Drosophila melanogaster: one gene and its partner. The protein of the gene in region 2 purifies or fractionates together with the protein of the main gene of each other region. This does not show direct contact. Each region holds a gene or a part of one and is shown on either strand. Other genes may lie near its edges.

The links. The genes of interacting proteins can lie anywhere in the genome.
Region 1: the proteins of Syx13 (region 2) and Membrin purify together in Drosophila melanogaster (affinity purification with mass spectrometry, with the first as the bait; one large-scale study listed by BioGRID). This does not show direct contact.

What each region holds. Positions count from the first base shown.
Region 1 is NT_037436.4:5,364,253-5,368,503, reverse strand, and holds Membrin (membrin), read right to left. Parts: upstream 2,050-4,251; 5' UTR 1,906-2,049; coding exon 1,769-1,905; intron 1,700-1,768; coding exon 1,186-1,699; 3' UTR 1,123-1,185; downstream 1-1,122. Other genes in the region: Pfdn4 (prefoldin 4), read left to right, coding at 560-604, 730-1,101; Uev1A (Ubiquitin-conjugating enzyme variant 1A), read left to right, coding at 2,348-2,375, 3,419-3,561. UniProt on the Drosophila melanogaster protein: Involved in transport of proteins from the cis/medial-Golgi to the trans-Golgi network.
Region 2 is NT_037436.4:13,042,477-13,047,855, reverse strand, and holds Syx13 (syntaxin 13), read right to left. Parts: upstream 3,423-5,379; 5' UTR 3,291-3,422; intron 3,219-3,290; exon of another isoform or gene 3,007-3,218; intron 2,939-3,006; 5' UTR 2,937-2,938; coding exon 2,261-2,936; intron 1,640-2,260; coding exon 1,461-1,639; 3' UTR 962-1,460; downstream 1-961. Other genes in the region: CG11279 (uncharacterized protein), read right to left, coding at 404-621, 685-775; RpS4 (ribosomal protein S4), read right to left, coding at 4,029-4,282, 4,519-4,690, 5,317-5,379.

The sequences.
Region 1 (4,251 bases), 7.7 Mb from region 2:
TGCATTATTTGTTAATACTTTACTAATTTAAAAAAAAATTAAAGGAAGTTAGATTTTACCTATTTATAAAATAGTTCGATTTAAATGTAAGCATAGGACATATAATTTTAGCAAATTTTTTTTGTTTTTAAAAAGTAACTGCACTTGAAAATGTTTTTACACAGGATATGTACATTTTAAATGTACTCCACTGTAAGATTACACAAAATCATTTTTTTTACACGTTACTTACACTGTTAAGTGACAAAATTAAAGGTAGCAAATATCTAAATTATTAACCCTACTTATTAAATATTTTATATATTTTATATTCAACATAGTCATAAAAAATTAAACATAACTATTTAAATAAATATAAGTGCTGAAGATATAACAATAAATTGCTAAAGCGGAATCACTTCTGTAAAATAGCCTAACGCCTCGTTCTCTCTGTTAACTGCTCTCCGTTTGTCAACACTAAAATGTTAAACAAATAAAATTTTTTGCGAAGCACCGAAAACAGCAACTGTTTGTAAAATATCATAAATTATTTATTAAATTAATTAAAACCAACGGGAAAATGGCAGCAAAAGTAGCGAGCGGCACGAACAAAGTGTTCCAGAACGTGAGTATGGGTGAATCATCAAAGGACAGCTGACTAAGATGAAAAGTAACCTCACTTTGTCATGGTTTTTTCTGTGCATCTGCTCAATTGAAATTTATGATATATATTTTAAATCGCATTTTCAGCACGATGACGTGCACATCTCCTTCGAGGATCAGCAGCGGATCAACCGCTTTGCGAAGCACAACGCCCGCATGGATGACTTCAAAGCGGAGCTGGAAACGAAGCGCAATGAGCTGAAGAGCTTGGAGGAGGCGCTGGAGGAGATTGAGCTGTTCGACGAGGACGAGGACATACCGTTCCTGGTTGGCGAGGTGTTCCTCTCGCACAAGCTGGAGAAAACACAGGACATGCTGAAGGAGACCAAGGAGCAGGTGCTCAAGGAGATCGCCGGCGTGGAGGCCAAGGCGAAGGTTATCAAGGCGGAAATGGACGAGCTGAAGGCTCATCTGTACCAGCGGTTCGGCAGCAATATCTCACTGGAGGCCGAGGATTAATCCACAATTGATCAATTGTTAATTTAACATTTTACAAAATAGAGTACATTTAATTTAAACTCAACTAAACGCGATGTCTTCAGATTAGAGCACTAGGAAATAGATGATCAGGGCGATGATAAGCAAGGTGACCACCACTCCTCCGATGAATATCCGACGATCCTCGACCAGCCGGCGTTCAATAAGTTTCATCGTGTGATTGGACAGACCCAGTGTGCTGCCTATCGCCTGGATTCTCTTGTGCGCTCCGCCCAGCGTCATTCTCTGCGAGATCAGGCTCTCGAGAATGCCGCTGCCCGAGGCAATCATGTCGTCCACACCCCGATGGGCGTTACCCAGCTGCGTATGATGCTGCAGTTCGTAGTCCAATTGCAGGCGCGTTTCCTCCGGCTGCGCGCTGTTTGCCGTGAATCTGTGATTCAGCAGCTGTTCCCTCTCGGAGATCTCCTGCATCCGTCGCTGTCTTCGTTCCCGCGCCGTCTGCAGTGATGTCTGCAGGTGTCTCAGGTCATATTTCAGCTGATCCACACGAAGTTTGGAGCTTTGTCGCTGCGAAGGTGGCACCTTATACAACAGCACATCCAACCGATCGCAGTTTCTAAACACAAAAGATTTATTTAATAATACAAACTCCTCTTGGGATAATATATATCATTGTAGAACTCACGCGTTCGCCTGGGTAATCTTCAATTGAATGCCGTTTTCCACGTCAAGCGATTCCTGGGCACTGAGCTGACTCAGTCGCTGGAAATCGCGCTCGATGTCCTTTACCACATTGTTGGTTTGGTGGTACAAGCTCTCCATGTCGTTACACCTATTGATTCCGCATTAATTTATGGGCCCGAGAATATTCGCAAATTAATATTTAATCGGTTGCAATTGGTTTGTTTTTAAAAAAGCTGACGCGTTAACATTGGACAGAGTGTCATGTTAGTTAACAGCACTGATAGCAGAGCAGCTGGCTGCCGTTTTTGGTATGACCATATATTATGACAAACTTATCAGCTAATGCAACTATTAAATTTCCTTTTTATTTTCAGAGAATATGCTATATATTGTTAAATAATGATTTTTAATTAGTGACCAAATATTGCACTTGACGGCGCTGTTAAGTGTTACCACTGTTAACGGTGTAAAAATCAGAGTTGTTAAGCAAGCCAAGCAAAACCTAAACCGCACTGGTCACATCGCACTGGAAACGCGTTAGCACACTTTTACGGTATTTTAGCACTTAGCATTAACCACAATGGCGAATACATCAAGTACCGGCGTTGGTAAGAAATAAAATTGATAAATTAGCAATTTGGCAGCTTAAAAATGCGATCCCCGCACGCCCGGAGTTGTTGGCCATCCGTTTTCTGCATTTCCCGCTGACCGGCGGCGATTTTTCCGCCGCTACGGACCCGACAAGCGGACCGCAATGTGATTGTGTGTGTGGTGCAAAACGGGCAAAAAGAAGACGAAAGCAAGGGCGAAAGACGAAAGCCGATAAAAGCGAAATGGGCGAATGGAAATTTATTTTCGCCAGCGGACCACGCTGCTCTTGCAATTTTCCTTGGCCGCGTTTGGCGTTGGAAAAACTCCGTTGCAATTGGGCTTCGTGACTTGACATTTTCCGAAATATCATCCCCGCTCCTTCCTCACTATGTGGCTCTCGCTCGCTCGCTCGCGCACGCTCTTCTTCTTGCCTTCATACTTAAAGTTTTTTCTTTATTTTCCTTATTTTTTGCACACTTGCGTTTTTGCAAGCTGCCTTGTCTTTTCTAATTAAATTAGCTGCCATTTACATTTGCCTGGATTGTTTTTGCAAATGCAGAAATTATGCTTTCGCCCCGCCCCCGCCGACACACCCTCCCCCCGCGCCCATCGTGCTTAATATCTGCGCTTCGCATTTTTTTTTTTTGACTTGTGTTCTCTGCACGAAAATGCGTACAAAGTCACACGGCCGAAAACAAAAACAACACGAGAAGCAGAGCGCAAAACAACAACAACACGTACCCATATGACCCCACACTGAGAGGAAAAGTCGCCGAAATATCACCGAAAATGGTTTATACCATAGAAAATGTGTAGAACAGTCCTTACTAGTTTGTTTCTAAATAGATAAAACTGTCGTTTATAATTATATATATGTATCTTATCTGTACGAGCCCGTGATTATAATTATTTAGAAAGCTAAGTACTTTCTTGCCCCGCCAACCAGAAAATTAAAAACAAGCTGACATTTAACTTAATGACTATATTTAAAGATTTAAGTTTTTCAGTGAAAATGCATTATGTCATCGAGTTCTCACCTCTTTGCCGTTTCACATTGCAGTGGTGCCACGGAATTTCCGCTTACTGGAGGAGCTGGATCAGGGCCAGAAGGGCGTGGGCGATGGCACCATATCGTGGGGCCTGGAGAACGACGACGACATGACGCTCACCTACTGGATCGGCATGATCATCGGTCCGCCTAGAGTAAGTTTCCATATCGATTGGACTTTCCTCGCTACGTCACCAGATAAGCCCGGTTTATTAGGCAATTCTGTAGGATTATTGACATCTTATCGCTTAGATTGCGCAGACCATTCAGTTTGGATAGCACCTTGTATCTTTGAAGGCAGTTTATCTCTTCAGTGCGATGGAATTTGATAATATTTGCATTTCATTAGCACCGCTGATGCAACTCATTGTGAGTGTGGGTTTCAAAAGTCATTGGCTTCATTAGCTTCTTATGTGGTAAATATGAATATAAAATGTACCTCTGCTAGATTTTAATCTTATATGAAAACTACAAGCTGCAATCTGGGATTATTGCTAGAAAATATAGGTATAGAAACGCTCGTGCTAATTTATTCTTATTTTATTCACAAGAAAATATTCCACTTTACATGCATTTATTGGGGAAAACAAGGCTCTAGCCTTGAATTACTAGCAAGGAAAGCGGCGGAAAACTAAATTTGCATTTAATTTTTGTATAGTCTAGAAGTGTTGCGCGCGCCGCCGCATGAATCATTGAGGAGTTTGGGTGGCAGGGTCTTCTAACAGAGCCCCAACTTGGTTTAGTTGCATTGGCAACTAAAGTGGAGAAGCGGTGGACTAAGGGGAATGGGAGCGCCTGACTCATCGACACTCTGGCCGCAAGTGCACAGAGTATTGAATCATTCA
Region 2 (5,379 bases):
TTTGGCAACATTTAACTTTTTATAACATAAAATAGTTCATACTAACATTGAAAATGAATTTGTTCATTTAGTATAGCTTCTAATGAATGAATTTAGTATCAAATATTAGGTTCACCTGACCATCAATAGAAATGCAATCCTAAAACTCAGCGAGAACTACAAAATTTAAGTAACTTTCTTAATTTAGTAGACTGTTGAGAGATTGCAGATACTAACAACGCTTTAAAGCTCATATGCTCTGATATTAGGCGGATTTGTTAATCCTTTTGGCAATCTTAAGAGGAGAATTCGTTTCCTTTGGGTTCCAATCGATGCTATAACAAAGGAAATAGTTTTAGAAATGTTTTACTATACAATATGCAGGTCATTTGGTTATCAACAGAGTACTTATGCCTAGAGTAAGCTATTCCGCGGACTTGGCGGTACTGGCCGCCGCAGCCGCCTTCGCCTGGGAGGCGTGGTGCTTGGCCACCGCCTCCTGGGCCTTGCTCAACTGGATGTAGCCCTCGTGGGCGCGGGAGCGCAGTTCGCTCTCCACGCTCTTGTTGACCGACTTCGAAATAACGGACTTGATCTTCTGCGTCTCATTGAACTTGGCCTTTTTCGCCTGAATTGGCGCATCTGTAAATTAATAAAACAAAAACATAGAATTTGGAGAAGATTGTTAAGCATGTGGGTAATCACTTGATCGACGGGTGAAAGCAGCTTGCTTTTGGTTCTTCTTTTTCTGTATCGCTGCTGGTAGCTTGGCCTTCTTGAATTTTCCCTGTGGCATCTTTACAAATGACAAATTTTTATCAAGAAAACGAAATATAAATGTTTTGCTGTGCAGCACGTTGTTTTGGTTTTGCCCCACACCGATAAGTCTATCGATTACGTCCTATCAATTTAAGCGGACTGCCAACCTATTGCATCCTCTTTGAGCCACTTGGCGCGCTTTTCAAATCACTCAAATTGGTTTGTTCGGTTTATTTTATTTTCGATTGCTGGCTCACTTATATATAACTTGTAACATATATCAAAAGGGAATACTAAAGCCGCAGACGGCTTCAGCAATCCGCCTTCCGCTTTCTCGAAACTAAACACAAAAATTTTACAAATTTCAATGCAAAACTCAGATTGCTCGCGATAATCGTTTTTAACAAGAAATAATTAACATTTAAAAGCGCTGAATATTGTTTATATGCAAGTTAAGTGGGATTCAGTATCCTTATTTACTTATGTATATATATGTAGATATATATGTATAATTATAAATATGGTATTTGTTTTTATTTTTTGCTTTAGCTTTTCCTCTACATTCTTGTTGTCTTTGCTCACTTGGTGATTAAACAGAGTTCTCAACGATCGAATATTTTGTTTCTTATAAAAATCGTTTTACAAAAATCTATGCGTGTGTGTGTGTGTGGGTTGTGTATGTTTGCGTGTGTTTGTTGAATATGGGCGTAAAAATAAAACAATTAACTGTTCAGTTTGGCAACGATAACGCCAGTTACGATTAAACCTATTATCACAGCGATCACCAGGAGTATCAAGATCTTGCGCCGGTAGCTCTGGCGACTCCTGGCCGCCTTGGCCAGTTCCGAGGTGCCATCCTCAACGTTGGCGGCCGTCTGCTCAATACTGTTCTCGATGAAATCTGGAAAGAAATTGAGATTTGCTTAGAAAGTGTAATCAAAAACAAGTACAAAAACCTTCCATCAAGCAAGCACCTAGAAATTTTCAAAACTATTACTAATAAGGAGTGAAAAATTTTGGATATTTAAACCTGTAATAGCAGTCAGTAAATATTTTATAATATTTGCTTGCTCTTATCAGTTTCTTCTTATTTTTGTAAGACCCGAAATAATTGATTACTGTTCAAATAAACAGGAAGTTAAATTAAACGATATGATAAGCGTATGCACACATTACTTGCCAAATGACACGGGTTTTCATAAAAGATATGGAAAATTAAAACGTCTAAGTCGTTGTTGATAATTCCAATCAATTTCGAAATGTGCATTGTTATTGAAGCAAAGTCAATGATTCATAATTTCTTGCACATGTTTACTTATCAACTCATTTGAGAGATTTGCTATGCAACCTTTAAGCAACTGATAAGCTCTGAATATTTTGTTTTACCAATGGATTTCTCCATTTGGACGCTATTAAATATGTGGAACTGCGTGCATTTGGGTCGTAAAGTGAGAGCCCTAATTACGGCTTGTGGTTTCTCGATTTGCGGTCGTTGAGCCCCACTTGGATGGAGATTACTCACCCATCTGCTGCCCCTGATCGTGCACCAGTCCACTCAGCTGGGTCATGATCTGGTTGACATCGATGATGTCCGACTCTATTTGCTCGACCTGCCGCCGCCGATCGTCGAGCATGTCGTGCTCCTGCTGGAGATGGGCCTGCTCCAAGCGCTGTTGCTGCAGCAGCTCAGCACGGGCGTTGGTCTCCACCACCTGATCGGCAAATTGCTGCGCCTGCTGCAGGGTCTGCCGCATGGCCGATGAGATGCGTCGCTGCAGATTGGAGTACTTCTCCACCACGCCATGGAACTCCCGGGTGAGCTTCTCCAGCTGCAGCTTCTGCTGGCGATCTCCGTGCCGCACAACGGCCTGTAGCCTCTGCAAGTCCTGACTGGTGGTCTGCACCCGGGCATTGCACTTGGTGTTGATGGTGTGCACCTTCTCCCGCAGATTTGGCTGCTCCTTGGATGTGCCAATCAGTTTCAGCTGCTTCTCCAACTGCTTGGTGCTGCTGTGGATGGCAGTGATGTTGTGGCCAATGTCCTCACTAAGAGACATGAATTCCGTCGGACTGAAGCCGGACGAACCGCCGGCTGCCGCAAAGCTCACTTCGGGCGTTGAATCGGCCATCGCACCATAGTCCCGATGGGGGCCACCGCCTCCTCCGTTGCCACCGGGATTGTTCAAGGCCTTGGACATATCTGTAAGTGCATATGTATCGCTGTGAGTTCAAAGCAGGGGTCTTGCTAAATAGGCCGACATTTAATACCACTCGCGAGCAAACAGACAAATCCCTACAAATGATTCACATGCATTGTTGTTCTTGTTGTTCTTGCTGCTGCTGTTGTTGTTGTTGTCGCCAACTTATCAACATATGATGTTCGCCCGTGTGCGTATGTGTCGGTGTGCATCGGTGTGTGCAGCGCATCGTTGTATGGGTGGCCAGCATTTTCGTGTTTTCTTCTTCGCATATGATTTGCTTTTGGGGGCGGGGGCTCTGCTAGGGCTTCCGCCCAGCGGCGGAATGCGCCACCGGGATGGTCGGGTACTTACTTCGAAGCGAGTTCTGATCCGGGGACGCACAATGTTCGCGCACAAAGCCTTTCACCACACGAAATACAATGATAATTCTCTGCAGCAGAAGCAGCAGCCCACTGAGCAGTGTGACCGGAGCTTTCGCAGCGGCCGTTCTATCGATGCTGGGGGCGGGTTATCGATTATTTGGGCGCCAACTCCAGCCCCCACGCACCACAGAGGGGTTAAAACTCACCCCCCCCCCCCCCGTAAAATAAATGAATTCCTTTTTTCAATAATCTATTGCCCTTTTTTTATGATATGAATGAAATAAGTGAGATGAAGACGTAAACAAGAATAACACAATCATCATCATAAATTGAAATTTAAGTCCTCATTAAAATCTGCTTTTGAAATATTTACTTAACAAACGCAACTTTTGAATTCGTGTCATAGATAAAACTAGTCTTTCAAGCTCTGAAATGTCAATTTTGAGGGTAGTTTTACTTTACGTCCAGTTCTAAGGCATTGTGAATTGATTTTAAAGTTCCTATAAAGTCACGTTTGAATAGCTTTAAGTCACGTCACACATGTCCCATGTTTTTTTTTTTACACATTTCAAAGCAAACATCTGATTCTTTAAACTCTTGGCCAACAAATAGATCAACCACTTCCATTGCAAAAGAAAACACATGTGTTACGTTCTCGGCTTGTAATTCCGTAGCTAAACGTACAGAGTGTTATGCTAAAAGGTAAAAGTCCTTAAACTCCTGCGCCTTAGTGGGTCTTGGCGGCCAGACGCTTGTCGCGCTCCTCCGCAATGCTCAGCTTGACACCCTTGCCCTTAGGCAGGGAGATGTAGGGCTTGTTGCCCTTGCCAATGATGAACACGTTGGTCAAACGGGTGGCGAACACATGACCTTGCGAGTCCTTAATGTGCACAATGTCGAAGGAACCGGGATGACGCTCACGGTTGACAACGGTGCCGACACGTCCCAAATTCCTGCCTCCGGTGATCATGCAGAGGTTGCCTGTGGAGACGGAGAAATATACCAGTTAGTTGGAATCATACGACTTGGTTAATAATATTGGGCGACTGTCATTGCACGTAAAAGTTACTGAAGCGACTTTGGAATGCCGCATCAGAGACCGTCGTGACAAAAATTGCTTTTGGCTTATTGTTTTTGAACCACGCAACTTTCGAGGAGCGTTTTGTGGTCTTCGAACCAGCCAATGAACACGATGATCTACGATAGCGGATGCTTACCAGAATCGAACTTAATGTAGTCGGTGATCTTGCCAGAGGCAATGTCCACCTGCACGGAATCGTTGGCGTGGATCAGGGGATCCGGGTAGCGGATGGTGCGACCGTCGTGTGTAACCAGGAAAGGAACTCCCTTGGCTCCCAGCTGGGTCTTCTTGACCTTGCACAACTTGTACTGCAAAAGAAGCAAAGAAAATGTGGGTTAATTTTAAGACGTTTTATTTCTACACAATTGCACTACCACTTTCATTTAATTGCATTGTAATTGCACGTAAAAGTTACTCAGACGACTGTGGAATGCCGAATCAGAGACCGTCGTATCAAAAATTGCTTTGGGCTTCGATTTGAACCAATAGACACATGGCAACAAGCGGAAATCGGTCTTCGACGTAGCCCACAGAATTACAATATAATGCTTTATACTCCTTGGTTTCTTTTGTAATTGCACGTAAAAGTTACTGAATCAACTGGGATTTGTCGAATCAGAGACCGTCGTATCAAAAATTGCTTTGGGCTTCGTTTTGAACCAATCGGCGCACTATTCTACACGCAAAACGGTCTTCGACAAAGCCCTTTCGATATTTAAGTTAATTACTTTCGGTAATTAGCATAAAGATTGATTTTGTATTCCAAAATAGGTGAACTATTTATGTTTTAAAGATGAAGTTAGATGAATCTAATTCAAGTGCTCTTGCATGAAAAGAATTCCTAGTTGAGGATGAAACCTCAGTTAATAATTTTAGATTTTAACTCCATGGTTGGAAAGCGGGAACCTCTGGAAGCACAGACTAGATAACTCACCTTGGCCTCCTCGGCGGAGATGCGGTGGATGACGAAGCGTCCCTTCACGTCGTAGACCAGACG